Lepisosteus oculatus: one gene and its partners. Each later gene encodes a partner of the first gene's protein in a complex. Links are inferred from orthologs where the notes say so. Each region holds a gene or a part of one and is shown in the gene's direction. Other genes may lie near its edges. The genes, in order: mbtd1, enhancer of polycomb homolog 1, vps72b and bromodomain-containing protein 8.

Region 1 (7,686 bases):
AATAACGATCTAGTCCCGCAGCTAAACCAACAACCTCCAAACCTACGAGGAGGTCCCTAAGAAGGCAAATGTGCGCGCAACCTTGTCAACTCTCCCCGTCACCGGTTCAACAATCCGATGCTTCTGCCACCACCTATACAGGGGCACAGGAACTGCCTGCGAAGGGGCTCGGCACGACGGCCACAACCTGCGGAATGTGAAGCGTCTTTACTCAGAACGGCAGTGCAGTTGTTTTCTGGAAAACCCAAGGCACGTCCGAACTTACTTTTTCGGGGTGGGCTGGGTTGTGACTTAATGGCAGCTGAATTATGAATTATGGCAGCTGACAGAAGGAAAATGCAATCGGGCGATGCCACGGCACGATGATTAAGGGATTAAGGAAGAAGGGTAACAGTTAGCTGGGTCTCTGGACGCACCGTGCAGTGCAGATCGCTCATGCCATGATGCGCGCACGGTAACGCCTGGGGTGTTGTACACCGTGTGTGGCCCAGAGGCGGCTGGCGGTTGGCACAGGGTCGGTGCAGGAATATGATGAATAATGCCAACGGCCTAGCGGGGACAGATCACCCCCCGCCCCTTCTCCCGGCTCAATCCCCCTCACCTCCTCGGCGTGCTTCCTCAGCGCCTTCTCCCTCTCGTACTGAGTGATCAGCTGCTCGTTGTCCTCCTTCAGCAGCTCCAGCTCCACTTCGTGCTCCTGATTCTCGGCGAAGACGGAGTCCAGGTTCTCCAGCACGGCCACCACCAGCGGCATCAGCTCCTTCACCACGTCCTCGTCGTACTTGCCGATGAGCCTCTCGAACTCGCGGTAGATGGAGCTGGCCAGGCCCGACACCCGCTCCGACATCATTGCCGCCGTCCCCGGGTCGTCCTGGTATACAACTCCGTCCTCTAACTCCATTTTCTTCTCTCTCTCTTTCCGATGCGGTGCAGCCCTCCACCTCTTGCTATCTTGTACGAATTTATCTGCTCCTCAACGTTGTGTAGATGCCGGACTTCTTTAAAAAAAAATTAAAAAATAATAAAAAAATAAAAGAATCCGGGCAAGTTGCAGTCCCTCCCTTTAAGGGAGCGATGTCTTGTGTTTTATTTGGCTGCCGCTCCTCCAGCTCCCTGTGCAGCTGAGTTGTTGACCAGACCGTCACGTGATGACGTCACATTCTAAAACCGGGGCTGGGATTTGCGAGTGGAAGGGCTGGAATATTGCGCTGCAATTTTCGTTTCTTTAAAGATTACGCCTGGGTGTCTTTAATTAATTAGTAGTTTCATTTTGCACGAGTCGTGAAATTAATATTTTTGAAATATTCAAACAGAACAGAGTGTATCGAATTATCTTTTTGTGCGTTCACTTCTTCATTGTCTTCCAAGTACTGTATTCGTTTTTATTTATTCAAATGCACTGAACCATTCGACTTGTTCGTTTTTAACTAGGTAAGTCTTGCATTATGTGTTTTAAGACAAACATAAGTAAAACTCAAAAGAAATAGCCAATTTAGAACCCACTGGAGGAACTAATTAAACTAGTAAAGAACTTATCGAATGTCTGCACTTCTGATTAGAATATATCCCTCAGATGAATGGAGGTGGTATATTATCGAAAGCAGAAAGTGAGGAAGTCTGTTGGATTATTAAATATTAGAACAAGGTGGAATCTGACGCCAAAATGTTTAATTTAGTTCAGGTTTGTGAATCTGTATATGGTGCTACACATGCGGTTAGTGCTTGTTTTTGAATTGTTGAAAGTTGGTATGTCATGCCCAACGAACATGTGCAATATCATATTTAATACATTGCATTTTAAAAAGAAATATTTTTATAGAGTGCCGTCTACCTGGCACATAAGACGTTTAACAACTCACCTGCTATAGGTAAAGCTGAGTCTGATTTGATGTTACAAAACAGCGCCCTCTGCTGGGTCTCAAATGTTGCTGCTCGTTTAACCAGCTCATACTTGTTCCTTGCGACGTTGGTATTACCACGACCAAAACAAAATTATATAAAAAACAGACATTTTAATTTACCATGGTTCTGTTTTAATATGTCAAACTATCCCAATAGCAAGCTCTTGAAATATGTTTTCCTGACACTCCTGCTGTTTTACAAAGTGCTGAAAAGACACAGCTCTCAGTCTTCAATTAAAACGCGCACACAGAAGTGGTTTACACAGAGGTGTCCCTATCAAAGCAGAAGTTAATCGACCTCTAGTTGGACCGAACGATAAAGCAATCTGTTGGCTTAGAAAGGTACGTTTTTGTGCGCCGCAAAATGTCGAAAGTTCCGAGCTTAATTATTGTTCTTGTTACTGATAACGTATGTATTTAATGGTGCAGTAGCAGCTGTATTTCTACTTTCACGGTTGAAGTATATGTAGTATGTTATAAGAGTTCGTGTTGTATTGGAAGTTGCAAGGTAAAAAAGCTGGTTGAAATAAATGTGTGCACATTTAAAACCAATGTTCCCATGTCAGAATTCCTCTTTGGAAAATCTGTTGCCCTCTTTGGTAAGCGGGACTTAACAGTAAAATGGGGTGAATGGTATTGTAAATTCGTGATCGACTCAGGATGAGAGAACTAAAGAAATGTATGTATCTTGAAAAACAGTGTTACGATTTCAAAATGTACAACACACACATAACTCGTACGTTGCGTGTGAATAAATCAGGTCATTTTAGTTTTGGGAGCGAACCATAAACATTAGGTTTTCAAATGTTTAACGCAAAAGCTATGAACCCCACATACGGGATACAGCGTATACGGCGTGCATGTGTAAATTCACTGCCTCCATCACAAGGTCTCTGCTTTCTTAAAACTGTGTCGGAGTCTTCTCTTCTTTCGATCGCTCCTCATGTACCGAGCAGGTGCGCCCCAGATGTTGTACGATTTCTTTTAGCTGGGTCAATTCGTAACATCAGTGGGCTTTTGTTCAGTGCAAGTGAAAAAACTGCCTGAGGTCTATCTAGCTTCATTCGTTTGGATACAATAGCTCTTTGAAGGATGTCAAATAAAAAACAGAAGTGTCATAATTCCGTTCAACTCGTGATATGTCTTTGGGTGCCTGCAGAACAGGTGCGCTCCATTGAAGCAACGATAACAGACTCCCCCCCTCAGGTAGTACGGTGGCCTCCAGGGGCCAAAATCCTCCGTGTAAGGACTGTGTCGATTACCATTTCCTCGTTCCGACCAATGGCAACCAGGGGGTTTACCCTGCGCCTGCGCTCTGCAGATATGATAATTTTGTTGATATTCAGCTGGAGTTCAATATTTTGGGTTTTAGTTTGATTTTCTGTTCTATTTCTCCTTCTCGGGAATTTTACAACTGCACACACAAAACAAAACGGCATTGCATGAGGGGCTGATGGAAAACGCCAGGGATTTGGTGAGTTGAGCGGGGAGATCGAGCGTGGTGCTTTGGAGTGCAACAAGCCTGTTTTTCTCTTCCTTTGTTGTGATTGTCAGCCTGCAGCAGAAACAGCAGTAGAAAAAAGGGGCCTCCAGATTCGCCTAGGTAAAACAATCAGGTTTCCAAAGGTTCGGCTGACGGATTGCCGGGGCTTTAACGATTGTGAAGCACCCGAGAATTAGCTGAAACACATTGCAGAGACGCTAGTTTGCAGGACGAAGTGGAAAAGGCGTGCAGGCCCGTCACGACTGCAGTGGTAGTAGCATTCAAAGCACACACACAGATAATGCTTCCTTGTTTTTTTGAAATACTTGGTACGTAGACTTCCATGTCATTCGTGTATGTAACGGGTAAATCCTTCAAAATACGTGTTTTTCTGATATTACAGATAAAAACCCCAGCGAACACACCTTGTTACTAGGTGTTAGAGTTCCGAAGAAATAAATGCTGAGAAATAGCTGCTTATTGCTCTGTAGACCAGCGTTGCGGGTTACCATTCTGCTGTTACCGTGTCACACAGCAGTTTCGCTCTGCCTTGAGATTTTTAAGCATTTCTGCCGGAGTTCAAAATCGTAGCCATGTTTACAAATTAGAGCCCGGAAATGTTATGATACCAAGTTTTAAATGACTTGTTTAAATATTTGCGAAAACTCGGTATATCTTTTTATTGTCACCTTTAACTCGTAGTGTACTGCAGTTGGAGTAGTTAAGCTTATTGAAATACTTACAACTGTCGTTTGCGGCCGTAGAATGTATTGCATCCTGTGAAATGCATATGAAATCGAATAGCGATCATTGAAATTTCATTTCCATAAATATTTGTTTTTCTATGTGTAAGGTGCTCACTGACCAGTAATACATATCCTATACAAAGATTTTCTAGGTGTATTTCGGGTGTAGTAAGTTTCCACTACCATTGAAAGTTGGAAATATTGGATGGTAATAAGTGGAAGAAATAATTGTAAAAATGTTTGCAAGGTTTTTTTTAAGTTCTGTTCTTATTATCTTGGGTCTTTGAGTAGCATTTATTGGAACAGCGAGATTCTGTTTTGGGAGTTCATCATATTTATCAAATAAGTCTCTTCTGTGCTTAGAATACTGTTCAAAGCTGCCACCCATTATACCATTAAAATAAACTTTCTTATATGCAGGCTAAGAAACATCTTTTAAATATTGATTAAGTTGTCACAGTAGTAAGCTCCAGCAGATAGTGGATTTTGCACTGTACAGCTAAACTGAATACTGACACAACATGTTCTCCTTTCCAAAATACGAGGTGTGCCAAATAAAATGTAATGTTAAGAGCAAAGGGATCAATTCAGGAAAAAGAAACATGCTCTAGGCATGCCCCATTGCAGATTCTGAACTGCTACTCATGAGAGGGACCTGGATGTCTAGATTCTTCTATGTTCTCATCAAGACACCAAAATGCCAAGGTACTGTATGTAGCAAAACCTGAGAAATTTAAAACAAGGGAAGCTGGACAATACGCTAGTGTGGACTAATTAAAAATAAAAATCTATATAATTCAACTTTGGTTACAGTGTAATGACATTACATGTGGTTTCATTACTCATAATTTTTTTCTAAAGTTATTTCCTTTTTAACATATTTTAATAGACAGGTTAAAGGAACATAGTCTGTTTAGTTTAGATAAAGTAGGCTTGATCCTAATATTAATAATAATTACTTACATTTATATAGCGCTTTTCTGGACACTCCAGTAAAAGCACCTTACAGGTAATGGGGACTCCCCTCCACCACCTCCAATGTGCAGCACCCACCTGGATGATAATATCATCCAATATATCTGCCTCTGAGGTTTTTATATTGGGTCAACTTATAGGACTACTTACGACTCTGTAATGAAAATAAATTATTATGACTGTAATAAAACATAGATCACATTTAGAAACTAAAGGAGCAATCATTTAGATTGGGGAGTAGAAAACATGTCTTTACACAAAGAGCTGTTGGGGCCTTTAAGAAGCATTCTAGCTAGGCCTGTGTTGAGATCCAGAGTCTGAGAGTCTGAGCTGCTTCAAGAAGCAGCTGAATTTGCAGCTGTTCGCATGTTCTTATACTTTAAAATGCACCATGTGTTAAGTTTTGTTTAAAAGAAACTATAGAAACTTTGGTATTTTGAGAAAGGTGTTTTTGCAATCTGGAATCATGCTCTTAAAATAAAGAAAAATAGGCAGCATACAGTAGCTTTGGTGTAGATTTTTAATCTGAATACACTAAGTGCACATTGGTTTTCAGGCTGGTTAATATGCCTGCTGTGTTTCTGATTGTAACCCATAAGGCCAAGGCAATAGGAAATGCCAGGTCTGCAGCCAGCGCTCTTCAATGCCTGTCTTTGTTCACCCAGACTGAACACACTCCTCGGTCAGACAGGAAGAGGCGGGACTCCTTCGGGATGTATGATGGGTATGACAGCTGCAGTGAGGACACCAGCAGCAGCTCTAGCTCGGAGGAGAGCGAGGAGGAGGTCGCCTCCATACCTGCCAACCTGCCCATCATCAAGAACAATGGGCAGGTGTACACCTACCCAGATGGCAAAGCTGGCATGGGTCAGTCCACAAGTTCACGCTGCCCTCTCACAACACAAGTCTAATTACCCAAATTAAAGGCATAGCACACAGAGTGTTTGGTGTTTATTTTATAGCGCCATACCACCAGCACACAGAGTGTTTGGTGTTTGTTTTATAGCGCCATACCACCATTTAAAATGCAGTTAAGTCATTCTGTCTTTACTAGAGGCCAAACTTACTCATTGCTCTTTCAATATTTTTTAGCTTTATTATCTATATTTAAAATATCATAGTTGTGATTATTTTACATTCTTTCATTCTCTGTTCTGTTGAAAAGAACATCTTTCAATAGCTGGTGTAAATAAATGCATAGCTATATACTGTACATATATATCAACTGGTAATCCGTAGACTGAAATGTGAGTTACAAGGGCTCTGGGAAGAGTCATCATCACTAAACAGAACTAGAAAAAGGCAAGTTTAAAGGAAAGTCACATGACAGAGTAAGCTGTGCAGATTTTAACAGTATTTGCTTGTGTTGAATTATATCGGGTGTGTTCTGTTTTTTTTTTTCTGCATGACATTAATGAGTAAATTGAGAAAAAAATGTTTCCAGCGACAGTCTGGGATCGTGCAGGGATGTTTGCACAATTAAAAGGTTTCTCACTGTTCCCACCACTTGTAAGTGTGATGTAACCCACAATTGCCTGTTCTTTCAGCTACCTGTGAGATGTGTGGAATGGTGGGAGTCAGAGATGCCTTTTATTCCAAAACCAAGCGATTCTGCAGCGTCTCTTGTTCCAGAAGTTATTCCTCTAACTCAAAGAAGGCCAGCATTCTGGCTAGGCTCCAGGTAATGTTCTTTATTTTACACGTGACCCCAAAGAAAGCTGTTTTGGTGCTTGTGTTAGCAAAAAGACCTAGGTTAGAGTCACCAGCCAGACGAACAGCAGCTGTATTCACTTTTATAAGATTGTAATCTACAAATAATGTACATATTAATGTCTTTATATGTTAATAACATTGAATATTGGATATTTTTTATTTGCAGGGTAAACCACCTACAAAAAAGGCAAAAGTCTTACAAAAACAACCTCTAATGGCCAAGTTAGCAGCATATGCCCAGTACCAGGCAAACCAACAAAACCAAGCTAAATCAAAAACAGGTGAGGGACAGTGAAGTCCTGTAACTGTGACTATTTAACTAGTAAGAGTTTGTATATTCACAGAGTGGTTAGCATTTACTACATTTTACTACATGTGTGAATCTAAGAATAAATGACACCTTCCTTGATGCAGAAATTTGAATTTTGCATTCTGTAATGTACATAGTGTAGGTGCGTGGTATTACTAGATCATTACTCTCTTATTAGTGCTCCCAGAAGTAGCTGAAAGGAAGCACATGGTTGATGAATATAAGCATAGCACACAGAGGGCACTGCCTTTTGGAAAATGAATGCCGTTTAAGCTTGCCATTTCTGAGTGGGACTCTTATAAAAACACAAAAAGATTCAATTTCTTGAAAATGCATTAAAGATATTTAGGGAATTGGGTGCTGGAGTGGATATTAGCACTGTTGGTAATAAGTCACCTGAAGCAGTGATAAACTGAATATATTTTATCTTTCTGTCCTTGTCTTGCCCTTTTCAGTGGTTCCTGTGGAGGGGTTTGATTGGGGTCGTTACATCAGCAGCAATAACTCTGTTGCGGCACCTGTTAGCTGCTTTAAGCACGTAAGTAGAATTAAAACTAC
Region 2 (7,624 bases), on another chromosome or scaffold:
TCCTCTTGTGTCAGAGTATAGCAGAGGGACTTTCAACATAGTCTTGTTCTGCACAGTGTTTCACCTAGCATCTGATTCCACAGACTTTAATAAGAATCATCTGAAACTTGAATCCTTCACAGTGACAATCTTGTATATTCAAAATGCAACCAGAAACACCTGTAAAGGTCTGCCTTGCATGCTTCTCCATCTTGTGCGCTTATAACCAGCTTGGGTGCTGTACTTCCATCTGTAGCTTTTTCTTCATCCCCAATGCCTCACGGGTGTTTTTCTTTTATCCGTCATTGATGTTAACAACGCAATTCACCAACCTGGTGCATCCTTGTCATGCATCAGAAAATAGTGCATGGTTCATCGTTGTGTACGTCTGTTGCTACTGATTTAGGCACTCCCAGAATATAGTAAATGACAGCTGCATCATAAAAAAAAAAGTCTTCCATTGTACATGGAGCTTAAACTTTTGCTTTCTTGGAGGACGAGCCCTAGGTATGTTCCCACTCGGATAGGGCCTTCATCCAGCCCTGCATGTGTGGAGTCGGCACATTCTGCCCATATACTGGGGTGTTTGCCAGGTGCTGCGGTTTCTTCCCACCTCCCAGAGATGTGCCAGCTTGGCTTCATGGGGTATTCTGATTCATCCTGTGATTGGCTGGCGTCTTGCCCGGGTGCAGAGTGTGGGTGTGCTCCACCTTGCTGCCTGTGCTTCTAGGAGAAGGGGCTTTCTAATAGCAGGGTGGTGATTGGAGGTTGGTAGGGGGCATCATCCCTGATCACAAGAACTAGTCAGCCCCCAAGAACATTGGGGCTTAAATATTAAAGTTGGTATAGATGCCTTGCTTATGTGGCTGTTTGATTTTCAGCTGAAGTAAGCATCACAATGAATGGAGGAGATATATGTGGTGGTAAAGGAATAGTGTACGATAAGGTTTGTGTTGGGATAAGGTAACATCACACCTGGGATGGCTGGACAAGAAGCTGCTGGTCAAGAACATCCAACACCTCAGGTGTGATGTGATTCTAGTGCGTCACACCCTGGAGATTAGTTATCTTTTCATTTTATAATATACAGTACAACAGACCTTGGTATGGTTAAAAAAAACAGACCTGTGCATTTGTACTAGTCATTTTGTCCGAGGTTCAGTTTAAAAAGAAGCTGGACAATCCTGGTCTTGCAGAGTCAGTGACTGTAGGTTTTCTAGGTCTTATTAGAGCAAGAGCACATGGAAAAACTAAATATTTTTGTTAAATTGTCCCATTACACCATAATTAGCTGATTTAGGTTAATAGATGATGTACTCAAAAGAAAATGTATAGATAAATCAGCCTCCAGAATGAGGAATACTCACGCCTGGTTTATAACATTTGATACAATTTTTGTTTTTGTTTTTAAACCATGTGCTCCATTCATTAACCCCCGTGATGTCTCACATATTTGTGTTCTCAATTCCACAAAACAGTAAGACTGTTAAATAATACTGGAACTAATCAATATATAAATTATGGTATTAAATAGCTAGCATTGTACAAAAATGGGCTATTCATCATTCGTAAGACTTGAGGGCTATATTTGTCATCTGACCAGCATCATTTGCTACAAGAATGTCTTTAGTACTCAGTGAAAAAGTCTTAAGTAATTAGGAGTTATTCTGAATAACTATTCAGAGTACATTCACATTTAGAGCAAGTAGTAGTATAGTAGTGTTAGCACAGATCTCTGCAGTTATAATACTAACAAGTTACTGAAAACCCAGTTAGAAGATGGGATACATTTCTTGATCTCAAATGCCTTCTGGCTTTTACATTAAAGTTGTGTGTATGTTAATCAAAGAGTTGGGTTTGTAGCCACTTGTACACTGTTCACAGTGTCTAAGAAAGCAGTTAGGTGCAGGCTGTAGTGTTGCTGACCAGCTGATAGGTAGCAGATGGTATCTATGGTTCATTTGTTAAATATGGCAGTTTTTTCCCCCGAAATGTGGATTTGTCATTTTGCTTGGTACCTGTCAGGCCTGGATTTATTCTTTCTCAAAGCTGTGCGGTTATTTACTAGTTTGGGAGCCTCAACAGCTGGTGGTACTGGAGAAATGATTCTAACCGATAAGAATTAGAACACTAGATTTTGTGCAACTTCCTAGTTCTACAGGGGAAATGGTCTAACTTAGCTTTAAAGGAAGTACATTTGCAACTGAACATATCCTGTTTTATCTGATTGCACCATGACTGTTGCCAGGATCTCTTGTATACTTGCTTCCAGGAGCAATAGATCCAATCTGGCTTTTATATTTTAACCCACCTTAAACCTAAATAGAATAAACTTTAATTAAAGGACTCTTTGTTGTTTTGATTATAACATTTCCAGCCTTTAGATGAGTGGAACCGTAATCATGCTAAGGGATTGCAGTTAAAATTTCACTAATCGAAGGAAATCGTGTTGTAGCATCTTTGCACTTCTGACGTTATTATACATATCCACACCAGAATTCAAGGGGAAAAAAGTGTTTTAGAAATAGGATATCTACCATCTTTACACTTTTCTCCTTGTAAGAGATGCTTTGTAAGTGGAGCCTTCTTCAGGAATAGGGTGTAGATGAGGAAGAGAGCTGAGCCCCAAGTCAAAAGAGTGGGAGCAAGAATGACAAAAATGTGCGGATGAAAAGGGAGAGGTGAGAAAGGATGAATAAATATTTCCCTAGATGTTGTTTAAAGCTCTAGTCATGGAGCATAAAAAAGGTACACTTAAAATAAAGATGACAGTACATTGGTTTAAATTGGAAAACTACTAAAGTAAAATGATAGGTACAAACGTAGTTTCTGTATCGCAACAAATAGTTGTATACCTAGATGAAAGTGTCCACTACTTTAAATGTCTGTATGCCCAATCTTGGACTAGGTAATACCTGCTTAGTGGCATCTGATAATATTCTTTGAGGAACTTGCTGATTTTTACCCCTTTTGACTTAAGATATATCACTGGTGCCTCATGTCACACTCATCTCTGTGATCTTTACTCTTTTAATGTATTTCTCTTGGCATACGAGGCAGGCTCTCCTGTTAAAATCCCCCAATCTGTAATTTGTGGAAAACCCTTCCTTTTTATTTTTTTGCACCTCTGTGCCATCTTACTGCCTATCACTGAGCTAATGCTATTATTGGATTCATTTTCCATGTAGACCTACCGTTTTGGGGACGGGCACTTTGCTTGCTGCTGCCAGTGCCTGGGACCTTTTGCAGAGGTTGAAACTGTCCATCTTTAGATGTGAGTGTTCAGTTAAATGGTGTAAATCCTTAATTCCTGCACTTGTTCACATTGCAGACCATGGCAGTGTCATTTTAATTTTCTTATCTGGTAAAATAAAGGATTCAATGAAATTTATCACTAGAAAAAAAAGATGTCTAGCTGTCAGTTTTAATATTATTTAGCAGAAGTATAAACATTCTGGGAGTGCCATTGGTGGAATTTAATCGCCACCCTGTGTTTCTGTGAATTTAACTGGAGTTTAATTGAAAATGTACTAGCTTTTGCTGATCACAACTTCAAAAGGGACAAAAAGATCAATGGTTTGATGATGCATTTAATCTAATTAAACTCTTCAGTAGTGTCATTGTTTAAATCTCAGGCTAATACAATTTGTGGATGAAAGTTTGATTTTAATTAGGTTAGCCACCGATGGTTTTAGTTTTCTAAATGTGTTATTAAGCCTTAAGTTTTTCGAGATCAATTTGGTATTTTTTCCTTCTTGTGGGCATGATTTAGTTTTTAAGTGCTCTTAACTTTTTTTTTTCCATTGGTCTTGTAAAGACTGATTTGTTTTGATTGTCCTTTACAAAGCTGTTGATTCCTTTTACTTAGAAACTCTCAGACAGTATAGAGCAAACTTCCCTGGGTTCGCTTACTTACTGTACCATGCGATTCATTTTCTTTTCAAAAGAGGGCGACATTTTCCAAGATTGTGGAGATTCAACTGGAGGCGTCCAACAAGAAATCGGTAGCAGGCAGCCTTGGAGTTAAACGCCAATGATCAAATACCTGTAACTCTGATGGCACACGGAAGACTTAAAAAAAAAATTAAGCTTGCAGTAAACCGTAGGATGTCTTACTTACAATATTGGGAGGAAACTAAACTTAGAAACTGCCTCAGTGTTGATGCATATTACGTTTTTACCTGTAGTTTTTATCTACCGCACATTTCATTACCAATAGAAACCTGTTCTTCCGTTAAGATGAGAACGTAGTTGTAGACTGTACAGTGTTGGTGGAAATTCAACTTCTCTATCCTCTCGGGTCTGTAGTTTATCCCGTGTTAACCCCCATTCAGCCACAGACCAGGGGGCGAGTGCGCCTTTAAGTCGCGGGTAGCGCGTCCCATGTCGGCGCAACACACACGCCGTGTAGTGCGGATGGAGGCTGCGAGAGCTGCTGCTGCTGCTGCGCGCTGCCTGTCAAGAGTGCGCGGAGGAAAGAAGAATGGGGCGGGGAGGGGGGGGGCCGCGGCTCCTCGGTGCTGTTTATTTCGGCGTTGCGAGCGCTCCCCTCCCCCATGTTGCCGCCTCCTCCTCCCCTCCGGGCGCCGCGAGCGCGCACGCGCGCGGGGCCGTGCGGGAATGGCTGTGCGCTGATCGGGGGGCTGGGCCGCCAGCAGCTACCGGAGAGTTAAAGAGTTTTTAATGTCCGCCATGTTGGCCATGGCGTATTGAACCAGGGAGAGAGAGCGGAGCGACTGAAAAAAAGAGACCGAAAGAGAGCGACCAAGATCCGGGCCTTCCCGGCTCCGTTCGCCTCGCCGTTTGTATTTTTTTTAACCAATCGAACGGTAGACGACTGGAGAACGACACAGACACATCCATGAGAGCTCAAACCGGGACAGTTGTGAATTTTAGGGGATCGGATAGATTTATGCTGCATCTCGAAATATAAAAAATGAGTAAATTGTCGTTTCGGGCACGGGCGCTGGACGCTTCCAAGCCACTACCTGTCTTCCGCTGCGAGGACTTACCCGACCTGCATGAATATGCCTCTATTAACCGGGCAGTGCCGCAGATGCCAACTGGGATGGAAAAAGAGGAGGAATCGGTACGTTTTGCAGTTCCGAAAACCTATTCTTGGTAAAATGTCCAGGTTTCGGCAGCATGAAGGGGCGCCCCTATCTTGTCTGCGCAAGCTTGCACAAAATGGCCGCCATATTCTCGTTCCAGAAAGGCGGCTTGGTTCGGGGTTTTGCTCGCGTCCTAAGCAGGATTTGGTGCAGTATATACAAATATAAGACGGCGCTGGTTGCAGATGGTGTTGTTGGGTTCGGTTGTCGGGGCCCGTTAACCCGGGAAAAGGGTTGCACGGCACAAAGGGGTCACGTGACTCGAGGCGAATCCGCCATTTCGCTGACTTTCTCCTCGCGCTGGGCTGGGCCTCGTGTCGCTGCAGGAGCCGCGGCCCGGTGCGAGGGGGCGCGCGAGAGCTGGCAGCCCACACCCCCCCCCTCAGTCTGAGTACACATGGGATACTACAACATAAACAAGAGCGCTGTCGGCTGGGAACGCAGGTCCGACTGCCTGTGCTCACGTTGGTTTTGACGCAGAAGGAAGCCGTTTTCTGCATTCTCTAGACTCGTTTTTTTTTGCTTCACGACATGAACTGTTTCTGAAATGGAGTAGTACCAGAAGTATTTTTTAACAGCGTCGTACGCGTTCTGAGTTGTTGGCGCTGACAAGAGTTTGCGATGGGGTCACGCTGTTCGTGTTTAAGTTTGCGATCTGCCCATTTGTCTTTCAGTGTTTTCTAGAGACACGGCAGCTGAGCAAGTCGCGGAGGTTTCCGTAAACGAATGTACAGCTTGTGTACGTGAAGGGTGTTTTTGTTTTCTTTCGTCTTCGGCTGTGCCTCGCACGGAGCTGGGCAGCGGGCACTGCCGGGCTGCCAATGAGGAGACTTCCCTCCGTTTGGCAGAAAATGGACATGACCGGTCTGATTCCGGCTGAGGTGTGCTCACGCCTGCTCGGCTGCCGTGCTTGCGCGGCTGTGTTGATACAGCTCGTCAGGAGGCGTGACGCAAAACTGACCCAGTTTTGCCTTAGTCCTAAAACCGTAAATTACCCCCCCCCTCTCCCCAGTCCCAGTTAAATCTGCATTATCGCCTCGAGAGTAGGTCTGAAGTTTTCCATTATTTCCGAACACCATATCTCTTCCTACTCCGTGGCCGTTATCCACACTTCCTCCATTTGCGTTAAGTTTGGCGATTGATTTAAGCCTCTCACGCTTGAGTTGCCGATTGAATGAAGAAACGGATAGTCCTAAATCTAGGCTGGTAGTTTCTTCGCTTCGTTCTGCAGCTTTGAATGCCAAGAGGGAAAGCTTGTGTAGAAGCCGGTCGGGTATGGTGAATGTTTTACAAACGCAGCAGTAGCATCTGTGCGAATAAGTTAAATTGTGAGGTTAAAGCAGGCTATCGTTTTTTTTTTGCAATAGTATGGAGACGCCTCTCTAAACCACTTTACCGGACTTTCTAGTAAGTCCTAACCGCAGATCTACACTGTCACCTTCGTTGCAAATGTCAGTTCGCCTTTGAACTGTTGGCGCCAGTGAGGTGAGATGTCAGTGGGTGAAGTCTTCTGCTGAACTCTGTAAGCAGGCAGAGCGCTGGGTTTGCAGCTCCTATTTCAGTTGTAAACGACAAAACTTGACTTTGAAGGGCTGCGTGCTAAGAGAGAGATTAGGAAGATACCCCTGTCTGATTTTTACCTCTTTGTGGGGAATCCGTACCCGAACGTGCTGTTTTTTAACTCTAACAATATATTCTTCCAGTGCCCTTCTCTGTGGAGATTTTAAGTTCCTTCTCTTGCATTTAATCAATATCACATTTGCATATGTGATGGTTGATGTCTTTGTGGACATTTCCATGGTTATTGTACACACTAACGTTTTAACTTGGTTTTCTCTATGGTGTTGTAATACAAACTGTTTTGTTTAGGGTTGAAATAGGAGGGAAGAGCATTTAATGATGAGGAATGACAAGTTTGATAGTTGCCCTGTTAATTGTTACACTGTTTAGGATCAAGAACCGAAAATTAGAAATTGGATGCATCTGTCAAAGCACTGTAATCCATTGTCAAAATTGTTAGCAACAGGTGAGTTAATTAAAAGCCGTGTTGATTTATGCTGTGTATATGTATAAGAATGCATTACTGATATTACACAATTTATTGATCAGACTAAGTGTCGTGCTCTGCCCATAAATCTCATTTAAACCATTCAATTTTTCGTGATATTCCAGTGGGTGTTTGGATAAGCAGAAAGGGACTGTTCGGCTTCTGATTAGGAAGATGTCTGGGGACGCAGTGACCCACCAAAATAAGGGAGATTTAATGAGCTAATTTTGTATTCCTAAGTCATTCTCATTAAACGAACTTTGGTCTTTCATATCTGCTGTCCTCCAGATATATTAACAGAACACGGCAAACTACTAATCTGGTGTGGTTCCTTGTGGCCAGTAGTAGTCAAGAGAGGCTGCTAAATGTTGCCCACATCACCTTGATTTGTCTTCTCGCTGACATCTGATCCGTTAAAAATAGCAGTGAGAGGAAGGTGAACAGCCTTTTTTTTTTAAGTCTAATAAATCAAGATGGAAAGGAATCG
Region 3 (6,912 bases), on another chromosome or scaffold:
TACGTACAACACTGACAAATATAATAGAGTGGAGCAGTTCATCTTCAGCAATTCACCAGTCATGCCAATAGAGCTCTGTGAATTGGAATAGTACACAAAAACCACAACATGGCTGTTTTTTTTTTCTGTCCTGGTCCAGTGTTTCCAGACGGCTCAAGTGGGAACTATGTGACAAACCGAGAAAAAGGACACGCCTCTTTACACAAAGGGTGGTGGGAGTGTGGAACAATCTGCCCAGCCATGTTGTGGAGCCCGATACACGGGCTGCTTTCAAGAAACAGTTGCGCCAAGTCATTAATAATAATAATAATAATTGCTTAAACTTATATAGCGCTTTTCTGGACACTCCACTCAAAGCGCTTTACAGGTAATGGGGACTCCCCTCCACCACCACCAATGTGCAGCATCCACCTGGACCATTAGATCAACCGCATCCTAATGACAAAACAAAATGGGCGCAATTCCTCTGGTTCTCGTGTTCTTCACTTGGGGACCTGTTTCCAGAACTAGTGTACCTGACAGACCCCCGATCCGGGCGATTGTTCCCCGCAGCTCAAGCGACAACGACAACGCACGTCAGCAGATTCTTTGCCATTTGTTTGAAGAGGACGCACAAAAGCGAAAGGAGTCTTGATTGTCTCTCCGGCGTGACAGCGCTGGGTAAACTTTGCCGGGAGCCGTCAGGTGCTTTACCACTGAAGCGCAGACGAGCAGTATTTGAATTGAACACTCGCTCGGGGCTCTCATGCTGAACACACGCTCCCCTGTTCCCCGTCCCGACTGTGTGCAGGTAGCAGAAAGGGACGGAAAATGTATTTTGGAAGGTCGTTTCCTAAGGCCCGTCACGTGTGAGCGCGGCATTTTGCTGATGGACCGCAGATCGGCTATTTCCTATTCGGGACAGTGCACGGCTTTTACGTGCAGCTGGGACAATAGGCGCCACTGTTTCTATTGTTGGCCTCGGGCCTGTCTCTCCGTGTCTGCCTTTTACAGCAGTGAGGGGGGGGAACCTATTGTCTATGGTCAACTGCCCCCACAATGCAGCGAGGCCAGCAAAAAAAAACGCGATTTTTTTCCACCTGCTGCTCCATCTCGTGGTGCTGCTGAGTATCGCAATTGCGTTTGGGCAAGGAGTCTCCGCTTGTCTGTCTGGACTCGCTTCTCTCATCGCCCCCCCCAAAAAAAATATTCCCCTTTTCTGGATGGGGAGATTCTTCTGCAGCGCAGGCGGGTGTGTTTCTGCTACGGCGGCTCCTCTGGGCTGGATCGCCTGGGAGACCGCCCATCAGGTGTGTGCGGCCGGACAACGTGGGTGGTCAGTTTATTACCGTCCGGAGCTTTTGGGGAAAAACGAGCAATCGGGGGAGATACAGCTGGCCTGAAACAAGCTGGGAACAATGGCTACGCGGCCACAGCCCCTTCTTTCAAAGTGCCCTCGTTTGTACCGCTTTTGCGTGTCAATGTACCCGGAAAATAATTAAAATAAATGAGACGGATGGTTGTGTGTCTTACTGACGTTTAAGAACGGTTAAAAACGAGAGGCCATTCAGTCCGTCAAGCCCGTTTGGTAGTTAAGAGTTTCGTGATCCAAATATTGATTCCTTCTGAGTCTCAGAAATATCGAACACGTATATAATGAAAGCCAGCGGCGTGCTCTCTCACAGTGGAATACCGTCAGCAAATAAGGACAGAAACGAGAGGAGTCATTCGGCCCATGCAGTCCATTTAGTAGTTTGTAGCTAATTATTCCAAGAAACCTCACCCAGCTGTTTCTGTAAAGAAACCACAGTATCGGCTTCAGCAACGTGGTTGTTCCACACTCCCGGCACTCTTTGTGTAAAGAAGTGGCTCCCGTTCTCATGTTTTAAATCTACACTTCCAAGGAAGTTCCCACCGGTGCCCTCTAGTGGGGGGGTAGCCACTGGGTCCGGGATGACCCGTCCGGATTAAACTGATCCGGAGAGCGTTCCATGTTTCACCGCTGGTCCAGGCTAGAGGCGATCGTTGATGTGAATAGCTACCAATTACCAAGAGCTGGCTGTGATAATTCGCCCCCTCTTGTCGGCAAACTATCCTCAATTTTTAAATTGCCTGCTGGTGCTTTTCTGGAACACCAGCTCCTTGTCTTCAGCCACGCCGCCATACTAATTGAAGGAATTCTTGTATTAAGTATTAAAGGTTTCCACTTAAGTGGAAATGTCTGTTAAAGTGTGGTGGGTGCTGGGCCGCTGTGCATGAGGGATATTAAGGAAGACTAATATTTAGGAACAGTGTTCATTTCTAGGGGTGGTACCCCTGTCAGTCTTTATTGATGGTGCAACTCTTACGGACACTAAAAGCATTCAGAGTGAAGGAGAGTTTTGGCCGACTGGCGTTGTTCAAAGGGAGGGTGGGTGCTCAGCCCTGGCGGCCTCTGCATGGTGTCCACGGGTCCCTCTGTTCTAGAGTCCGAGGCTGTCCAAGGCTGGGGAGCGGCAGGATTCTCGGGGTCCCCTGTGTTTGCAGTGGGGGAGGGGTGGGGGGGGTAGCCACTAGGTCAGGGTTGCTGGTTCGGGAGGATGGTGGGAGGCAAAATAACCCGGAAAGCGTTCCAGATCCGGAGTGGGACAGCCATGGCCTTTTCCCCCCGAAACTGTGAAACCCAACACTCCGTCCAGAATTCGAGGGATTGCGTCCGACTCGGAGAGCCCGGGAGAGCGCGCTCCTCCCCCTCTGCCGGAGGTGAAACTGCTCGGCTGAAACTCTGCGGATGCTCTCTCGATAAGAGCATCTCGCCTGTCCCCATTCTTAAAACACAGCCGCCTCATTCCCCTCATCAGTAGCCCCATTCTTTGCAGCTGTGGCCTGAGATGAATGTGGGGAATGCGGCCAGGGAACATATCTGCCCTTAGATCCTTTTCACATAAATCTTCCAAGAATCAGACTGTCCTTCATGCAGCATACCAGATCTTATCAGTTTTAGCTGGTACAACATTTGTATGCATTCCAGTGCACTCTGGAAGCAGTCTGTAATAACCTGAAATACGTGAAGAATTTGCAAAGTCATCCATCCTGCCTAATATCCCTTCACACATGTTTCTGTATGGTTAACGCTCACCACATTTGACTGAGATCTGATGCATTTGTGTTTCGACTATATTTCCTTCTTTTTCACACATTATCCTTCGAAGGGACCTGCTTGCAGGCGCTGGGAACTGAATGCTGAGACAGTTGCAGCGTGCTCCCTGCCATGTCCATCGGTGCTTTCTGTGAAAACCCAGGTGGCAGGCAGCTGGATTAACTGACATTGAAAAAGGCATTGAGGAGCTGGAGCGTTCAAACTGGGGCTTGGCAGCAGAATTGCAACCAGTTCCTATATCCCAATATCCCCTGGCAGCAGGCAGAGGGTAGCCAGCACAGTGGTTATGCCACAGACTCCCATACAGTATATCAAGAGGCAGCCTGCTTAGGCAGAAGAAGAAATGCAAACATTGTTGGATTAGAATTAGTCCAAATCATCTCTTACTTGTATGACCTTGCAGGAATGTTCAGTGCTTTGGCAACACAGGCACACTCATTGTTGCTATCAGTTTTAACCTGGCACAACTGGTACTAGCACATTAGTAGGCGTAACATGTAGTTCCACCTGTGTTTGTGTATAAACAGTCAACACACCATGTTGCTAGTGCTGCTGGTGATTCCTTCAACCGCCTGTTGCTTTGAGGTGTTCTCTACAGCTGCTTGCAAGTCATGTGAAAATGGCTGACGCCAAAGGCCTCCAATCCTGATCCTAGAGGAGCTCCTAGATCTTTTTGAAACACCAGCACCAGTTTGTTAAATTGGGCCCACTTCAGCCATTAGGAGCTGATTGGACTTTGTACAGAGCTAAGCAAGGATGAAACACCTGCACAAGCCAGCCACCCAGGACCAGGGCTGGTGTCCATGTCAATCTACAGCACAGGTTAAAAGGAACTGAGTCTCTTCAGTCAAGTGCAAGAGAGCTTGAGAGAAGAAAGCTGCTAAATCATACATTTGTTTACACACTTTGAAAATCAATTTGCTTTTTTTTTTGTCTGATGCCTTTATCTAGGGCAACTTAGATTTGCCCCCATTTACCAACATACAGCTGGCTATTCAGGTGAACCAGCTCACTCAAGGATAGAAAAGCTGTGTCACAGCTGGAATTCGAACCCACAGCCCTCCAGTCTCGAACCTTGAGCAGCCTTCATTGGTAGGTGATGATCTGTGATGGCTCAGTCTCCTGAAATAATGATTTACTTACTTAACTGGGTCCTTTGATGCAGGTGGCAACATAAGATAACTGTCAAACTGTTCACAGCCGGATGAAGTTAATAATTGTCCAATTTTATTAACCAGTTCCCTTGAGCTATCTCACATGGGGAGGCATTTTGACTCCTGGGAACTGGATTGGATTGCTTTGGTTTTGATGTCCTTTGAAGGATTCATCACCTGATTTTTCAGCCAGAATATTGTGAACAAATCCCTTTGTGACGCTAAAATGTGCAATGTGAAATGTGCGAGCGAATCGTCAGTCAGACGATATTCATTTAACTGCAGGAACACCGAGGCTTGAGAAAGAATTGTAGAGGGTGAATGCTGAGGTAACACTGTCACCTCCTGGTATAAACTCGTCACAACCACTGCGGTTCAGCTCCATTAGTTGAGTCTGGATTCAAGGCTCGGCAATCAATTACAAAGACTTAAAACATGCAATGGCCGCCTTGCACCGTAGGCCGGATTGCGAATAGTGTCTAATTCTGTTGTTTAAATAAAGAAAATAATTGGACTTAAATATAGTTTTCAGAAAAAAAAACCAAGGCGTTTTCACAAAAATAACTTTCTTGTTAAATTCGACGGACGGTACAATCTAGAAGTAAACGGATATCTTAATCTTACAGTATAGCTTTACTACTGAAGGCTGAGGGGGTCGTGTTTATTTATTTTTATTTTGCAGACGAAGTTTACCCAAACATGAGTTTAGCCGTCGGTCGAGCACCGCGAAAGACGGCGGGAAACCGTATGTCTAAATTATTAGATGCGGAAGAAGATGACGAATTCTACAAAACGACTTACGGCGGATTCAACGATGTAAGTTATTAACACAAGACTTTACGTTAGAACAGATTTCTTATCAGAAATAAAATTAATTTAATAGTACAGGAAATATGAAATTGGAAGCTTCAGGTTAATACAGTAGTCATTTTGTATGCTTAAAACGTTTACACAGGTCTCCCTCATTGAAATGAAAATCGTAGATTTGGAAATGTTACGAGACCGAGCATAAAGCGAACCGCACACGAACACCTCAGCATGTGTCGTTATGGGCGGTAAGCTTGGTGAAGATTACTGGATTTCACATTTGGGCTTTCTGGACCCCTATGTCCGCTCGCTTTTGTTCCCTTAATCAACGGAGTTCATTTATTTAGGTTTTCTACTTGAGGCGTCTTCTGCTCTTATCAGTCCGAAGGAGATTTGTAATGAGCTCTTGTGCTAATATGAGGGACAGATGTAACCAGCTGGACTCGAGCACAAGGAGAGACGCTGGCTCGCTGCAGGACCAGAAGCGAGAACCACTGATGTAGGGCAGCACAGGAAAAGCTGATTTTCGCGTCAGGTAAAGGTTTATTCCGTGCTGAAAGGAAAAGAAAAGCGACAACGTTTCGGCTGTGGAGTTTCTTCAGTTATAAACTAAACGCACCTGAAGAAGGCTCCATAGCCGAAACGTAGTCTCTCTTCTTTTACTTTCAGCATGGAATACATCTTTACCTGTTCCTTTGCAGCCTACGCATGCTGACACTGCCACCTGAATTGAATTTCTGGTTTTACTGTAAACAGGGCTGTGATAAAACTGGCATTTTTTTTATTGTTGTTGTTGTCGTTCTGCAAAGAGCTTTTTTTGAAAGCCACCTTTTAAAGGTGCTATATAAGTTAAAGTTGATTATTATTGTGTTGCACTGCTCATGTGTGGGAGCCCCACAGGTGTGTCGGGGACAGCTGGGGGCACCTCTGTGATAACCAAAAATCAAAACTCAGCATGGTATACATTAGCATGTAAAAATGGCCGAAGCCAAGGGTCTGCAATCTTAGTCCTAGAGAAGCTGGTGTTTCAGTTAGGGCTCCTAGGTCTCTTTGAAATCCCAACAACAGTTATTAAATTGCAGATGCATTGTATAAAGTGTATATCCAGTGGTATAAAGATCCAGTGCTGTGTTCCACACAGCCCTATTAGCAATAATCTCTGACTCCTTCGTGCCAATTTGTAATTAAGATGTTCTAGGACTAGAGCTTTTTAATCTGCCGCTACTTATGGAGGTGCTGGAGTGTTTTTGATGAATCCCGGAGAAAACGAGCAGATTGCTCTTATAAGGGCGCCGCCCCCTCCCATCGGGTTCATTCCTCTCTGCTGGCAGGAGTCGGGCGACGACGAGTACAAGGGCGACCAGTCGGAGACGGAGGACGAGGTGGACAGCGACTTCGACATCGACGAGGGGGACGAGCCCGACAGCGACCAGGAGGAGGACGAGCCCCGCAGGAAACGGCGTGTGGTCACCAAGGCCTACAAGGTCAGGGGGCGGCTCTGAGAAACTCTGGGCCTGTCGGGGGGTGGTTTCATGGGGCGTCTGCAGGCAGCCAAGACACGGTATTCCTGGGGAATAAGATAATCTCTGTTACTCTTTTGTTGAAGGGTGTCTGATCGGAGGGTCTCAGAGAGGAATCGTCTCAGGCAACTTGGCAGGGTAGCTTTCTCCAGCTCTTAGGCTTTGTGTCTAAAAGTGCCTCCTCTTTGCACTCTTAATAAACAGGTTTCCTTTTGACACTGCTGTGCTATTCTTTTTGGCTTCTGAGGGGTTTGCAGAAGACGCTGTGCCCTGCCTTTGTGTTTTTTGATCCCAGTGATTGCCCTCGCCGGGC
Region 4 (7,760 bases), on another chromosome or scaffold:
GAGAGAGGGAGAGTTCACACGAGAGCAGGAGAGCGTGCTGTGAGTGTGCGAGAGAGCAGGCCCAGGTGCAAGAGAGAGGGAGAGCTCACACGAGAGCAGGAGCGTGCTGTGAGTGTGCGAGAGAGCACGCCCAGGAGCAAGAGAGAGGGAGAGTTCACACGAGAGCAGGAGCGTGCTGTGAGTGTGCGAGAGAGCACGCCCAGGAGCAAGAGAGAGGGAGAGTTCACACGAGAGCAGGAGAGTGTGCTGTGAGTGTGCGAGAGAGCACGCCCAGGAGCAAGAGAGAGGGAGAGTTCACACGAGAGCAAGAGAGCGTGATGCGGGTGTGCGAGAGAGTGAGAGTTCACACTAGAGCAAGAGAGCGTGATGTGAGTGTGCGAGAGAGGGAGAGTTCACACGAGAGCAGGAGAGCTTGCACACGCTGCGAGGGGTTTGATATCCCAGCACGGCTCCGCCTGCGCTGCCCCGTCGCCTGTCTCACCGGCGTGGGGGCGTCCGCTCCAGGGGAGATGACTGACAGCTCGGCGAGGCGATGACCCCCTCTCTGCCCGCCGCCGGTCTCGGCCGCCGTCGACTCGAACACCGCAGCCTCCTCCTCGTCCGACAGCAGGCCGCGCGGTGAGGCCCCATACGTCGCCATGACAACCACTGCGAAAGCAGCAGACAGCCTCAGGTTAGAGGGGTGACACCCCACCATCTCCCAGACCCACTACACCTGCAGCCACTGCCCACTGAAGGGACGCACACCCACACCCACTCACACCCCCCTCGGTCCCTGAGCCCCCTACACCTGCAGCCACTGCCCACTGAACCGACACACACCCACACCCACTCACACCCCCCTCGGTCCCTGAGCCCCCTACACCTGCAGCCACTGCCCACTGAACGGACACACACTGGTCCATATACCCACAAACAGCAGGGAGACTGAAGCTTTTTTCAAATAAATGAAAATCAGCAGTATAACAACAGAGCAGACAGCCAGTGATGATTTTACAATAAAGCTAATCACTCCAGGCTTTACAGTGCTGTCAGTCACACTCCCAGTGCACAGCAGTACAAGTCTCACGCTAACAAGTTTCGCTCCAACAAATAGGAATAATAGCAAAGCATCAGTCCAGAAAAATAGCTCTAAACCACTGGCTCAAACTCCGAGCTTCTATTGTTTACTGGGTCCTGTTTGTGTTCTAGCAGTAGCACATAAGGAGGCGAGAGACCCGATTCTCCGTAGGCAATTAGCAGAACTCTTCCAAATAGTCGCTCAGGCACAGAAAGGGCAAAAAACGGAGGCAAGTCAATCTGATCTACGCTTCAGATCAATGTTAACACCTACTACAACTACACCAGACAATCGTCTCTGCGAGACTCTCAGAAAAGGTGGGTCTTGTTCAGCCGGGCAGAGCTACAACAGTAACAGACAGCATCCAGCATGGGATACATGGGGTCTCGGTAGAGGCATAATCCCACTGCTGGCAGCAGGTATTCATGGATGTGTTGGGATTGGGAACTGGTCAATGGGCAGGACACTCAGGATGGCGGATGTAATCAGTGGAGCACCACAGGGATCTGTACCGAGAACCCTGCTCTTCAGAACTCACAAGTATTTGCCCAGTCCCGAATGCTGTCTAAATCTTAAGAATCCTCCGAGTTCTCGAGTTTAATTCCTTGTTGTTACAGTCCGTCTATCAGCTTTTCAAAACCTTAGGAAAACTCCCGTGTCCAATTTAGGTTAATTAGGTTAATGAATGGACTACAGAGGGCGCAAGGCCCTGCAGGGGCCAAGTTAGAGGCTTGGGACAGTGTCACAGGGGTCAGGTGCAGGTAGGTGGTTAGAGAAGTCTGGAAGGAGCCAGCAGCCTGCAGGGCACAGGGCTGCCTCACTGAACACAGACCAGCTTCAGAGCTGCCTCCCTCTCTCTCAGCAGTGGAGGTAAATTCCACATGGGGCCAGTCCACTAAATTCCACAGGTAACTGCTAATCCCAGCGAGAGAGCTGGACAAGGGGGAAAAACAGAAACTCCAAGGGGACAAGCTCGTCCCACAAGGCTCTCCCACACCCCCTCTACACAAAGAGAGCCGTAGAACAAGCTGCCCAGCCAGTCAGGACAGGAGGCACGTCTGTACACAAAGAGTGGTGGGAGTGTGGTACAAGCTGTCCCGCTACGTTGTGGAAGCCGATACCCTGTTTTTTTTTTTTTACAAGAAACAGCTGATCACTGATCCCGGGATCAATTAGCTACTATCGATCAAAGCGGTCAGACGGGCCCTCCTCTCGCTTGTTAGCCCTGGTTCAGATCAAGTCTTAGAGCGCGGTGTGGAGTGAAAAACCGCATCGGACCCGGGACTCTCCGGGTCCAGGAATTAACAGCAGTGTTGGTATTGCGGTGCTGCAGTTTGTTCCTAATTTGCAAGCCTGTGCGTGAAGCTCACTTTCACGAGGATAAACAAGTCAGGCGAGCACGCCCCCCCACCCACCCCCGGAGAAAGGAAACCCGCACAGATACAGGGATAGTCTGTGGAGAACCCGGCCGTTTCAAACCAGTTCCGCGGGTGGACAACCCACTCAGACCGCGCACGACCCTCTCTCTGCGGACCAGCAGGCTGGGGCAATTTCAATGCCGAGAAGCGAAGAACATGCACACGGGGGGTCAGGCGCACGCGTCCTTTTAAAAAGGGTTTTTGCCCGCCTCGCAGTCTGATACTCTCGATTTTATTCTCTAACCTCTTCAATACAGGGCTTTCTTTTGTCAGTTCACAAAAGTCATGCAATAAAAACTGTAAGAACACAATATACCATCAAATTTAGAAATAAGAGGAACACTGGGGTGTTTATAGCAACTGTATCTTACCAGGTCGGAAGTCTGTTTACGGTAGAAAGAGCGCACGCAGTCGGGGGGTCCACAGATTAATTTACACGACCACACTGTCCGCAGTGATTTTAAGGTTTCGCTCTCTTGGTCTTTTTTTTTATTTACTGAAGTTTATTGGCGTGACCGACGAATTACTGTTGTAATACTTCATACAGTAACAGCAATCGGGTGTAGGACATTTATGTCTTCGAGCGGTGTGTCCTCAATCTGAAAATTACCCACATTCACTATCGAGAGAAAACACGCAACCTCATTTAGTTCAAAGACAAAACAAAACACTAACCTTCTTTAAATACAAACGCAGGTTTTTCCGTAAAGTTCTGACGTCTTCTGACTGAGTGTCCTCTCTAGAAGTTTAAATAGAGGCACATTAAAAGTCCTATAAACCCTTTCCTCTGTCGACTAAACTTAAATTAACAACCGCGCTGAACTAAGAACTCTGGGACCAGCGTTCAGCCCCTCAGCAAACCGATTCAAACGTCGCGCCCCGGAGGGACAGCCAATCACCTTCCGAGTGCCGCCCGCAGCCGCCCAATGGCAGCGCTCGGAATGCGAGGGCCGCCGCTCCAGCCAATCGGACGGCACGCTGAACCCTCGCCCAAGGCGCAGGCGGAGAAAGGGCGCGGCGGCGTGCCTCTGTGAAGGAGAAATAGAGTGCGACCAATGGAAACTGGCTCCATGTTGGCTCAAAAAAAGAAGCACCGTGGCGAGCTGAGCCAACATGGCGATCTACCGCAGCTGGTGGGTGCTCGTTTAAACCTTTAGTTGTTCCTTTGCATCGCTACAGAGTAGCCTCTAAGAGCTACGTATTCATGTTCACATCGGCTTTATTCCCACATGAGTAGATATTGTACTTATCTACTTGAATAAACCTGCTGTGTGAATTTAGTCGAGAGAAGCCAGCGTTTCTCGCCCCCTTACAGATATGTTATTCTTCCTGTGCTAATAGATTATCTAAACAGCATGCCATCTTTAGACAGCCGTGCAAATTCGTTTAGTGTGTGGGCAAGCACCTCTTTCCCTCGGGGACTGAACAATAAATGTGAACAGTATTCACTTCGGCGGTACTAAAGAAGCATTGATGTGAACCCACATCGATTTGATAAACATCTGGACCGCCTGTCCCACACAAACGGCGCATTGTTGGCAGCTGAGGAGCCGCAGGGCACAGCGGGTCACGTGGGTCGGCCGGTCGGGAGTTTGCACTTCCCAGCATCGCCGTCAGGAGTCGCTGTTGTCGCCCCCCCTCTGGGCCGCGTCTTGCCTTGATGGCGCTGATCTGCGGGCGAAGTCTGTCCCAGCCCGTTGTGTTAGGAAAGGCGCCTTTGATTGTGGGATACTAGGGGTTGCAAATAGACGCCTGTTTAAAAGTGTAAACTCAGATTAACATAGGCAGAGGTATCCAAATATAGGACACAACTTAGAAGTATGTAGTATTATAGAAACAAATATAGGTAGTAATGTAAAATATATAATCGTGTAGACACGCGAACACGGATGATACTGTAGAAAGTTGAATGCAGTTGATTTTGCAGAATTACAGTATATAACACCCCAGAAATGCAAATATAGGTGATACTGCAGTGCAGAAAAAGTCTTTGGAGGATGCGGGCATCGATCCCGCTACCTCTCGCATGCTAAGCGAGCGCTCTACCATTTGAGCTAATCCCCCTTTCTTATTGGGCCGGCCCTGAAGTCTGTATATAAACTAATGTAAACAGTACAGTTTACAGAAACAAAGACTTTAGAAAGTACAATATTCCCACCTTATTTGTATTTCTATAGATAAAGTGTATTTTCCATGAGCGATATATAAATTGGTCATACTGTACATGTCCCTCCAAAGCCAAAGACTTCATTTCCCAGGCAGCATCGGGGCTAGAAAAGCACTTTGACCTGGAAGTGCAAGTGCTCAGTGGCGGTGTGGGAGGGGCAAGGAGTCAAGATGGCGGGCGGCATAGGGAGTAGGTGTTGTTTATATTTTAATTGTGTCTTTGTACCTTTATCAGTGTTTTGGAGTTGTTTCTGTGTTTTTGTGTGTCTGTTCTGCGCGATGAACGGATGTTTCTCCTTACTCCTTATGTAAGGTTACCGTGACTTTCCCCAGAAATAAGTGGTATTCTGGTAACGGACGGTTTTTAACGTAACATTAGGAGTAACGTAACGCAGACACAAAGACTGTAGTTCAGGATTTGGCCCGGGGTGTACGAGAGCGTCTCAGTTTTCGGTCTGTGTGTCATACAGAGTCTGAACCTGAAAGAAAGTTAAGAGAAACCACGCTGGTAGCTGTACTAACGCTTGATAGGGGCTGGCTGTTACTTCCTACGACACCGCTAGGCGTGCGCGTATCTCTTGTTTATTACTGAACACTTCCCACGTTTTTAGTACCAGTTAGTACTAACTATCCATGATCGGTAGCCGGGTAAATATCCTTTAGAAATATTCTCGCCATGGCCGGTTGAGTATCTTTTAGACCAGTGGTCCCCAGTCCTGTAGAGAATATTCCTGGAGCCCGAACGCTTGCTGCCTTTTATTCCAGCCAGACCTCAGGTACACGATCCAACTCTTAACTGACTGAACCAGGTTTGACTCGGGCTGTTTGTTCTCAGCAGGCGGCATGGTGGCACAGTTGTTATCATTTCCTCAGCGTCAGTGACTCCTTTTGTGATTAAAGAGCCAGGTTTCAGTGTCTGGTACAGTGAGAGGGAGACTGTCATTTTGCTCACACATACAGTTTATCTGTTTTAATATGACCTTTCTCTCTCTCCCTCCTCTCCTATAATTTCTCTGCCCTGTCCCCTGTCTCCTCCTCTCCTGTCTTCTCTCTTCTCTGCCCCCTGTCCTTTCCCTCCTCTCCTGTCTCCTCTCTGCTCTGTCCCCTGTCCGCTCCCTCCTCTCCTGTTTACTCTCTGCCCTGTCCCCTGTCCTCTCCCTCCTCTCCTGTCTTCTCTCTGCCCTGTCCCCTGTCCTCTCCCTCCTCTCCTGTCTTCTCTCTGCCCTGTGCTCTCCCTCCTCTCCTGTCTTCTCTCTGCCCTGTGCTCTCCCTCCTCTCCTGTCTTCTCTCTGCCCTGTCCCCTGTCCTCTCCCTCCTCTCCTGTGTCCTCTCTGCCCTGTCCCCTGTCCTCTCCCTCCTCTCCTGTGTCCTCTCTGCTCTGTCCCCTGTCCTCTCCCTCCTCTCCTATCTTCTCTCTGCCCTGTCCCCTGTCCTCTCCTATCTTCTCTCTGCCCTGTCCCCTGTCTTCTCCCCGACTCTCTCCAGAGCACAAGCTGATGTCGCTGGGCCCCACAGAGCCCTGGTCTGTGAGGGAGAAGCTGTGTTTGGCCTCGTCTGTGATGAGGAGTGGAGACCAGAACTGGTAAGAGGGGCTCTTTCTTCCTGTCTCTCTGTCTGGCGCTCATGGCTGCCAGACAGTTTCCCTCCAGAACTGTCCCCTCTTGCTCCTCTCCCTTCTCTCTCCTTTGCCTGTGTCCCCGTCTCTCTCCTCTCATTCTCTCAATTTCCAGCTGTCCCCCCTCTCCTCTCCGTCCGTCTCCATGTCTCTCCTCATCCTCTCTCTCTCCCAGCCTATCAGATTCAAAGAGCTTCACTGGCGTGACCGATCAGCCGCAGTGTTCACAAGGCAGGTACAGTTAACTCCACAGTAACAGATACATCTCCCTCTGCCAGGGTGTCGGTCAGCAGAGCCATCAAGCCCTTTGCAGAAGCAGGCCGCCCTCCGGACTGGTTCTCTCAGAAGGTAGGAGACACAGTGATGCTCGTTCTCCTGCAGTGTTTCCTCGACCTCTTCAGCGCCGTGACGGTAGTGTGTTTTTCCTCCTTCCTGTCTGTCTCTCTCAGCACTGTGCCTCCCAGTACTCGGAGCTGCTGGAGACCACAGAGACGCCCAAGTGAGTGCAGCTCCCCATCCCTTGTTCTTGTGTTGTGTTGTGTCTCGGGTGTGAGCAGGTGGGGGTGGGGGAGAGAGAGTGCGGTGTTGTGTTGTCTGGTGTGTGAGAAGGGTGGGGTGAGGGAGAGAGAGTGTGTTGTTGTGTTGTGTCTCGGGTGTGAGCAGGGTGGGGTGAGGGAGAGAGAGTGCCTTGTTGTTGTGTTGTGTCTCGGGTGTGAGCAGGGTGGGGTGAGGGAGAGAGAGTGCGGTGTTGTGTTGTGTCTCGGGGGAGGTGGTGGGGAGACAGTGCAGGAGTGTTGTGTAATGTTGTGTCTCTCTCAGGCGGAAGAGGGGAGAGAAGGGTGAGGTGGTGGAGACTGTGGAGGACGTGATTGTGCGCAGACTGACAGCAGAGAGGATAGATGAGCTCAAGAGGCTGATCAAAGACACTCAGGAACTGCACAGGTACTATTTTGTCCTGTTACTCTATCCTGTGTCCTACAGTATTGTCCTGGTAATCTGAACTATTGTGTAATGTTACTCTACACTGTTTTCTACAGTATTGTCCTGGTAGCCTGAACTGTTGTGTAATATTACTCTACACTGTTTTCTACAGTATTGTCCTGGTAGCCTGTGCTGTTGTGTACTGTTACTCTAACCTGTGTCCCTGTATGCTGTGCTGTGTTGTGACCTGATGGTCCTCACTGTAGTCCACTCTTACTGCGTCTCTCCCTGCAGGAAGCTGAAGAAGGAGGCAGAACTAATCCAGGCTGGACATCTGGACAACAAGTTGGAGGAGCTGTGGGGGGAGATCGTCCTGTGAGTCTGTCCATCTCCCAGTGTCTGTGAAAGGCCGCCTGTCCTTCTGTGTACTTGCCTGGGTCTCGTTGCCTGTGCGTCTGGCTCAGGAGATGTCTGTGATTTGATTGTGGTTGTGGCGCGGTCGGCAGGCGGTGGCGGCGTCACTGATGCGGTTACTGTTCCCGCCTCCAGGAAGAAGAAACAGGACGAGGAAGAGGCGGAG

The links.
Region 2: mbtd1 (region 1) and enhancer of polycomb homolog 1 share a complex: the UniProt entries of both Homo sapiens proteins name them as parts of the nuA4 histone acetyltransferase complex. The link is inferred for Lepisosteus oculatus from reciprocal best matches to the Homo sapiens genes MBTD1 and EPC1.
Region 3: mbtd1 (region 1) and vps72b share a complex: the UniProt entries of both Homo sapiens proteins name them as parts of the nuA4 histone acetyltransferase complex. The link is inferred for Lepisosteus oculatus from reciprocal best matches to the Homo sapiens genes MBTD1 and VPS72.
Region 4: mbtd1 (region 1) and bromodomain-containing protein 8 share a complex: the UniProt entries of both Homo sapiens proteins name them as parts of the nuA4 histone acetyltransferase complex. The link is inferred for Lepisosteus oculatus from reciprocal best matches to the Homo sapiens genes MBTD1 and BRD8.

What each region holds. Positions count from the first base shown.
Region 1 is NC_090704.1:33,791,540-33,799,225, forward strand, and holds the start of mbtd1 (MBT domain-containing protein 1), read left to right. Parts: upstream 1-4,672; 5' UTR 4,673-4,805; coding exon 4,806-4,835; intron 4,836-5,770; coding exon 5,771-5,972; intron 5,973-6,652; coding exon 6,653-6,786; intron 6,787-6,984; coding exon 6,985-7,099; intron 7,100-7,583; coding exon 7,584-7,666; intron 7,667-7,686. Other genes in the region: spag9b (C-Jun-amino-terminal kinase-interacting protein 4), read right to left, coding at 602-901. UniProt on the Homo sapiens protein: Chromatin reader component of the NuA4 histone acetyltransferase complex, a multiprotein complex involved in transcriptional activation of select genes principally by acetylation of nucleosomal histones H4 and H2A.
Region 2 is NC_090701.1:39,246,344-39,253,967, forward strand, and holds the start of enhancer of polycomb homolog 1, read left to right. Parts: upstream 1-4,622; 5' UTR 4,623-4,915; coding exon 4,916-5,068; intron 5,069-7,624. UniProt on the Homo sapiens protein: Component of the NuA4 histone acetyltransferase (HAT) complex, a multiprotein complex involved in transcriptional activation of select genes principally by acetylation of nucleosomal histones H4 and H2A.
Region 3 is NC_090722.1:5,052,861-5,059,772, forward strand, and holds the start of vps72b (vacuolar protein sorting-associated protein 72 homolog), read left to right. Parts: upstream 1-3,906; 5' UTR 3,907-3,921; coding exon 3,922-3,940; intron 3,941-4,954; coding exon 4,955-5,088; intron 5,089-6,410; coding exon 6,411-6,563; intron 6,564-6,912. UniProt on the Homo sapiens protein: Deposition-and-exchange histone chaperone specific for H2AZ1, specifically chaperones H2AZ1 and deposits it into nucleosomes.
Region 4 is NC_090706.1:29,598,026-29,605,785, forward strand, and holds the start of bromodomain-containing protein 8, read left to right. Parts: upstream 1-4,743; 5' UTR 4,744-4,815; coding exon 4,816-4,834; intron 4,835-6,129; coding exon 6,130-6,226; intron 6,227-6,537; coding exon 6,538-6,607; intron 6,608-6,708; coding exon 6,709-6,758; intron 6,759-7,078; coding exon 7,079-7,201; intron 7,202-7,474; coding exon 7,475-7,555; intron 7,556-7,729; coding exon 7,730-7,760. Other genes in the region: kinesin-like protein KIF20A, read right to left, coding at 482-640. UniProt on the Homo sapiens protein: May act as a coactivator during transcriptional activation by hormone-activated nuclear receptors (NR). Isoform 2 stimulates transcriptional activation by AR/DHTR, ESR1/NR3A1, RXRA/NR2B1 and THRB/ERBA2.